Linked DNA regions of Schizosaccharomyces pombe. The protein of the gene in region 1 binds, or shares a complex with, the protein of each later gene. Each region holds a gene or a part of one and is shown in the gene's direction. Other genes may lie near its edges.

Evidence for each region. The genes of interacting proteins can lie anywhere in the genome.
Region 2: the proteins of dpb4 (region 1) and dpb3 are in contact, whole or in part, in a crystal structure (PDB 5Y26), measured with the Schizosaccharomyces pombe proteins. Residues at the interface, in NP_595521.1 of Schizosaccharomyces pombe: Leu12 (codon at 2,036), Asp14 (codon at 2,042), Leu15 (codon at 2,045), Ala16 (codon at 2,048), Leu17 (codon at 2,051), Pro18 (codon at 2,054), Ile21 (codon at 2,063), Ile22 (codon at 2,066), Leu25 (codon at 2,075), Val26 (codon at 2,078), Val29 (codon at 2,087), Leu30 (codon at 2,090), Pro31 (codon at 2,093), Lys33 (codon at 2,099), Ser34 (codon at 2,102), Leu35 (codon at 2,105), Val36 (codon at 2,108), Gln37 (codon at 2,111), Glu39 (codon at 2,117), Ala40 (codon at 2,120), Ala43 (codon at 2,129), Met44 (codon at 2,132), Asn46 (codon at 2,138), Ser47 (codon at 2,141), Ala48 (codon at 2,144), Thr49 (codon at 2,147), Leu50 (codon at 2,150), Phe51 (codon at 2,153), Val52 (codon at 2,156), Ser53 (codon at 2,159); in NP_001343092.1 of Schizosaccharomyces pombe: Lys3 (codon at 1,911), Thr4 (codon at 1,914), Tyr5 (codon at 1,917), Gly6 (codon at 1,920), Lys7 (codon at 1,923), Val9 (codon at 1,929), Leu10 (codon at 1,932), Pro11 (codon at 1,935), Arg14 (codon at 1,944), Val15 (codon at 1,947), Arg17 (codon at 1,953), Ile18 (codon at 1,956), Ile19 (codon at 1,959), Gln21 (codon at 1,965), Asp22 (codon at 1,968), Val25 (codon at 1,977), His26 (codon at 1,980), Tyr27 (codon at 1,983), Cys28 (codon at 1,986), Ser29 (codon at 1,989), Ala31 (codon at 1,995), Ser32 (codon at 1,998), Leu34 (codon at 2,004), Leu35 (codon at 2,007), Ile36 (codon at 2,010), Val38 (codon at 2,016), Ala39 (codon at 2,019), Thr40 (codon at 2,022), Glu41 (codon at 2,126), Leu42 (codon at 2,129).

What each region holds. Positions count from the first base shown.
Region 1 is NC_003423.3:1,284,141-1,287,741, forward strand, and holds dpb4 (DNA polymerase epsilon subunit Dpb4), read left to right. Parts: upstream 1-1,805; 5' UTR 1,806-2,002; coding exon 2,003-2,175; exon of another isoform or gene 2,176-2,307; coding exon 2,308-2,426; intron 2,427-2,464; coding exon 2,465-2,805; 3' UTR 2,806-2,981; downstream 2,982-3,601. Other genes in the region: pig-A family phosphatidylinositol N-acetylglucosaminyltransferase subunit Gpi3, read left to right, coding at 1-185; mRNA-decapping complex subunit Lsm1, read right to left, coding at 349-522, 600-715, 764-832, 881-944; AP-endonuclease Apn2, read left to right, coding at 3,266-3,601.
Region 2 is NC_003421.2:682,924-685,996, forward strand, and holds dpb3 (DNA polymerase epsilon Dpb3), read left to right. Parts: upstream 1-1,753; 5' UTR 1,754-1,904; coding exon 1,905-2,024; exon of another isoform or gene 2,025-2,125; coding exon 2,126-2,269; 3' UTR 2,270-2,573; downstream 2,574-3,073. Other genes in the region: sts5 (Dis3L2-like 3'-5'-exoribonuclease), read left to right, coding at 1-639; pgl1 (6-phosphogluconolactonase), read left to right, coding at 2,978-3,073.

The sequences.
Region 1 (3,601 bases):
CTATAGATTATCTTGTAATGGTTTTACTAGAATGGATTTGGCCAGCATCTGATATTGACCCAGCGGTTGACCGCGTATCCTCTACTTTCAAAATTTCTAAGCAGAACTTTGACGAATCTCTGGTATTAACGGACCCCAAAAAAAAGACAAAGATAAAAACTGCATGTTTAAAAGATGCACAATGATTACTAAACTTTGAACGAACGGTAATGGGATTATGACGATTCATGTCTTAAAAATTACATTACATCCATTTAAAAGGGGAATAAACAGCGGTCGAGATAGCTTTCTATCGTGACTGTAAACAAACGGTATAGCAATATTGTGATAAATTTGTTCAACCGTTGTCTAATACAAATCATCATGTCCGCCGTCAACACTAAAGCCTACAGAATGAAGGTACTTGCCCTTCTCACGTATATTTTTCTTCTTCTCTTCTTCATGAAGCTTCGCCAAAGGATACAGTTCTTCAGCAGGCATACGTCGCAATTGTTTGACTGCATCATACTCCTTATCCAAATCCTTTTCGAAATATTTAGCCCACGTTCAAAGAAATTTATAAAGATGCTCGAATATTTTATGTTACAAACGAAACTTACCAATTCACCTAAAAGCACGACGTTCTCGCCCCGAACAATATACACACCTCTGTCTATGTCCCCGTACATATCATCCACATAGATCCTCTCAATCGTGTATTGCAACATTAAATTTGCTACACAGTTAGTAAACTCACTTATGCGCCTATTCACGCAAACCATACCAAATTGATCAAAGGACCTTAAAATTCCAATCAGTTTTTTTCCATCTCGTAAAACAACAATCACTTTTCCTAAAAGGTAAAGTTAGATCAAGGAAAACATTGGAAAAAACACCGTACTGTCTACGTAGTCAACAAGTGACCCAGAAGTTGTGAATGGGATAATCTGTGTAGCTTGATTCATTCAGCTATTATTTGGATGTAGCATAAACTAATAATTTAATTTAGATTTAACTTTCTATTTCTTTTATAAACGCCTGATGACTTTATTTGAGTGTTTTCCTTAAAAAACGAGTTCGAGGAGATGGTTAGAAGCAAGTGCTCTGAGGTCGTCAAATCTGGAATCCTAAATTCTCCCTGTTTAACCCTAAAAGTGCTTCTGAAGTTTAAATGTTATTCGTTTGTTATGTTTTTTTGCTAATTGTAAATTAAATTATTTGGTTTTTCCATTTCTAAACTTGCCCATCATTGAATGTTGTAATCTGACTTTCTAGTTATAAAGGGAAGTCGGTCTTCACAAAAATTAAAGAACAAAAACATGTATATTTTTGATCACAGATTGTAAAAAGGGAATCTAATTATACTCAAGCTACCTAACAATTTTTCAGCATCATAAGCGGATTAGTTCATTGAAAGGCTCAACATTTTGCGAAGAACAGAAATAAATAATTTGATGATTTTTATCAATTCCAAAATCGAACTTGTAAAAATGTTGCCAATCCCATTTGTAATATCCCTATTCTGAGCTATTTCGACTGAGAAGAGATTGCCTATTATTCTCTTAGAACGTTCATTGAACGTTTTTGGAGTGTTCTGAAAAAAGATAATAAATTTAGTTGTTTTTATCTATTAATTACAATCAAAAATCGAGCCTTTAATAATGTATTGTATGGTTATCAAAAAGCTTTATTTATTTCTAACAACGCTAAAAAACTTTTTTTTTTACTCATTTAATATAAACAAAACAGTACAACTATTTAGTTTTAAGAAATTTGATAGCATTTCTACAAATGTTTCAACTCTAAGGCTCTCTCGGATTCTGCTCATAACGCACAGATAGTGTTTAGTGAAAATTGACAGAAATAGGCGACTCAGTGAATTTATTATACATTAATTAGCTAAAAAGAAGCAACCGCCTTTCTCTGTGATTATCGTTTGGTGACCATAGGATGATATTTGGATTGGATTTATAAAAGACTTGTATACAGCGTTTGTAAAAGATCTAGCGGCTGGAAAATCAATATGAATCAAGATAAATCGAAAGAAACTTCCGAATTGGATGATCTGGCGCTTCCTCGATCGATCATTATGCGATTAGTCAAAGGTGTCTTACCTGAAAAGAGTCTTGTACAAAAAGAAGCTCTCAAGGCTATGATCAATTCAGCAACTCTTTTTGTTAGTTTTCTAACATCCGCGTATGTAATCTATATAACTATATAACCATATTGAAGGGCTTGTATGATGAAAGAATTTATTATATAATTGCCAATTTTATTTTCTTCTGGAAACACTTTGTATATGAATGAATAAAGACTAACGTTACTTAGTTCTGGGGAAATTGCTACGAATAATAACAGAAAAATTCTTATGCCTCAAGACGTTTTGAATGCGCTCGATGAAATTGAGTATCCAGAATTCTCTAAAACGTTAAAAAAACATCTCGAAGGTATGTTTCTTACTCTGTACTTCTTCTAACTATTAAAGCATATGAGCTTGCCTTGAAAGAAAAACGATTGAAACTCCCTAACGTATCAGATGTTGATAACAGAAAGAAAGCCAAAATAGACGCGCATGACACTACTCCTCTAGATGAAGAAAAAGACGAATTAGAAGAAGAACGAATTGCGGAGGATATAGCACAAAATGAAGTTGAGCAAAATATTGATGATGTGGAGGACCTCGAAGAAGTGAATGATACATTAGACGCAAACGCAGAATCTCCTCAAATAGAAACCATTCATCTTACAGATGCTACGGGAAACCCAATTGAAGATAGCTCTGAATCCGACTCAGAAGAATCTCTTCAACTTAATGATTCTTCGTAATTACTGTTGGTTAAATGTATATGAAGATTGTCAATAGTCCTAACTTACATGGAGAGCTAATCATATTTTTTTACACGAAAAACTAAACCTTCTTTATTTTTTAATGGATTTTTTGGATACCTGTTAATACCCCAATTTACATCCTTGTATCCAAACATAGCTTTTTTAAACAGCAGTTTGAGATAATGTCTTTCTAGCACAACATGTATACTCGTTTAATGACATATATTTAGAAAGAATCATTAGATTGTTTACAGTTGTAACTCAATATTAGTCAATCTAGAATTTTTTTGAAAATCAACATTCAATAGGGAGAAGGTCGAAAAGAAAAGAAAAAGTTCATTCTCGAATTAAACAAATGCATTTTATTTTCCATCAGATTAACTTATGTCAACAATTGTAAATTCAAAAGTCTGTCGCCTTTACCTTCGCACACTTTCTCTACGTAAAAATTATAAGAATGCGAATTCTAAGTTGGAATGTGAACGGTATACAGAATCCATTCAATTATTTTCCATGGAATAAAAAAAATTCCTACAAAGAGATATTTCAAGAGTTACAGGCTGATGTAATATGTGTTCAAGAATTGAAAATGCAGAAAGACAGCTTTCCTCAACAATATGCAGTTGTTGAGGGATTCGACAGTTATTTTACATTTCCTAAGATCAGAAAAGGCTATAGTGGGGTTGGATTTTATGTAAAAAAAGATGTTGCTATTCCAGTGAAAGCAGAAGAGGGAATTACTGGCATCCTGCCAGTACGAGGACAAAAATATTCATATTCAGAAGCACCGGAG
Region 2 (3,073 bases), on another chromosome or scaffold:
TCACTTTTACGCTCTTTAAGTTTGATCGAAGACGATACTGTTCGTAACATTTTGCAGCTTTATTATTATAAGGTTACCCCAAGAGCAGTTTATGAAATGCAGAAGTATAAAGGCAATCTCGCTTCCCAGATGATGAGTCTTGGTATTGAGGACGAAAGTGACGATTTGACACATTTTACAGCACCTTTGGAACGTTATGGTGATATTGTAGTTCATTATCAACTGCAGTTGCTTTTGAGAGGAGAACTGGCTTCTGAAAAGCGCCTTCGTGTATGGTCGCAAGCGGCAAACGATGCAAGCCGTCGTCTGGTTATAAGCAAATTTGCGCAAGAAACTAGCATTCATATAAAAATATTTAGTGACTGGGCGGAGAGTCAGGTTTGGCAAGACGGTCTCGTATGTTTTGTTGCTCCATCATATTTTGACGTATTTTTCCCATCTCTAGGCATGGAGAAACGTGTTCATTTAGATTTGCTCAATCTAACCCACGTAAGGTTTGAAGAGGACCAGGGCATTTTATCTTTATACGACGAGAGCGGAGCCGTTACAGTTGTTAAATTGTTGACCTCTGTCAAAGTTAAGCTCTTTGTGCAGCTTTCGACTCCACCTCTTATCAACGTTTCAAATGTCGAGTTTTGATGTTGAACTTCGATTGTTTGCAATGTTTATTTCATGTATGTGTTTTTTGGTGACACATGTTCATTTTCGGATGCCTGGAATGGCTTTATATTCTCATTCATATTATTGCTCTTATTATTAGGCATTGTTGATAAAAAATATGTTACGATTCTAAAACTGCATTTTTTCCCATTCTTACTTTTCTCTTTAATTTCGACGAAGCTGTTACTTACGTCTAATATTTGTTTCTGGAGATTTACAAGTTTTGCATAGCCAAGGAGCTCGAAAACTCGGTTTAATCTTATACACTAAGATGCCGATTTTTTATGTTATATAACTAAAAGGATGATTAAACTTGATTACGATAGTTCACGATGATAGAGTTGGATGAAGGAATCCAGTAGTCTCGATACGTGATTTTATGAGTGCATGAGTTGATGATACCTTGAACTTTTCCTTTTTTATACATTAGATTGGATTTTGTTTCAAAAATGAAATCCTGCTTTTATATTGATACATGTCACTTTGTTGGCTTACCAGTAGATGAAGTGTCGTTTGCGTTTGCAATCACTGCGGCGATTAGGCAATCAGAAGTGGATTCTTATCGGTCGTTTGGGGTTAGCTGAGTCTTTTATTTTTTGTTTCTTTTTTTAAAATGAATCTACTATTGGACGACATCTTAGCAATTTTCAGTTGATTTTTTGCAATTTAAGTTCATTTCTTACACAAAATATTCAAATTTATAGTTATGAAACGTATCCGGGATGTGTTAGTTACTCATGTCCTATTTTATGATATGAAAACGGCATAAGATATTAAAAAGAAAAGGATTCTACAAATATTCTTAGTGATTACTATTTTTCATTTTTAACGCTGCCTTGTTATATCGGCTTTTGTTTACCAAGTGTATTAACTCGATATCGAGTATATTTTGATGTATACGCATGCTATACTGATTATAAAAAATTATTAATCCACAAAGTCTTAGAAATTATGAGAACTAAATGAAATACTCTTTAAAAATAGAAAAAAAGTTAAAAATATTTATGTTTCAAGTTAAACAACAATGTAAGGTTCTAGTGGTAAAGTAAGTATGTTTATTATTAGGTCGCGACGCGAGAGTACTTCGTATTTTGACAACAACACACTAAAAGTCAGAAATCAGAAGGCTATAATTTTTTATAGCACTAGAGATTTTGGGTTATTTTATATTAGAACCTTATAGTTTAAGGGTATAATTGCTTTTTTCCAGTCCTTTAAATTGTTTCGGTCGATAGGATTGATTCATGGAGAAAACATATGGGAAAACTGTATTGCCATTGAGCAGAGTAAAGAGGATAATAAAGCAAGATGAAGACGTACACTACTGTTCTAATGCATCTGCTTTGTTAATTTCAGTAGCTACTGTATGTGTGTTGTTGATAAATCAGCTATCTGGGCGACTTAGCACCATTTTGATTGCATAAAAGAAAAAGAAAAATAAAAGCTTACCTATTTTATGATTTAGGAATTATTTGTTGAAAAGTTAGCAACAGAGGCTTATCAACTTGCCAAATTACAAAAACGTAAAGGAATACGATACAGGGACGTTGAGGACGTTGTACGTAAGGACGATCAATTTGAATTTTTATCAGATTTGTTTTCTATATAATTAAAAAGTGTGAGAACTGGAAAACGGAAGCTTAAGTGTTTCCTTTCTTGTTCAGAAACTTCCTCATGAAATGAAAGGAAACAATCATCTTGTCAGTAAAATGTGATTTAATGAATTTTATTTGAGTTTTCTTCTTCGTTTTCATGCTCTTGTGTCTTTTTATCCACAATGCGCATTTTCAAACAGCTTTATCAAACAACTACTGTAGCTATTTGGATAAAATAGAACACATGTTCTCTTAAATTGGGTTACCTGATTTTTCATGTTTCAATCATGACTAATTTGCGGCCTTTGTTAGCTACATCTATAAACAATCTTAATGATTAGGAAATGGTTAAACGTTTGAACTCGATTGAAAGATATTGAAAAGCTACCAGCGCCCATCTGTATATTCTTCATTTAATTCCTTTCTCAATATCATTTGGTTCATTTATTTAAACAAAAATGCAGAGAAGGTCGAGCTTCTTTATCTAATCCCAGCGATGCAGACGTATTGCTTGCTTCATGGTTATATTCTATACCTCCGCTACCTTGCCGTGATAATGCCGTAATCGTACATTACTATACTCGAAAACTGATTTAAGATTTGTTCTGTTCTAAATTTCCGACTACCGAATGAATTACGACACTCCACCTTGTTTCGTTAATACTACTCCATTACTAACAATTGCGCAAATACTGAAAGCAAACCAGAACCAAGTAGAAAAAATGTCGGTTTACTCATTTTCAGACGTTAGTTTAGTTGCAAAGGCACTTGGTGCATTCGTTAAAGAGAAAAGTGAAGCTTCTATTAAAAGGCATGGC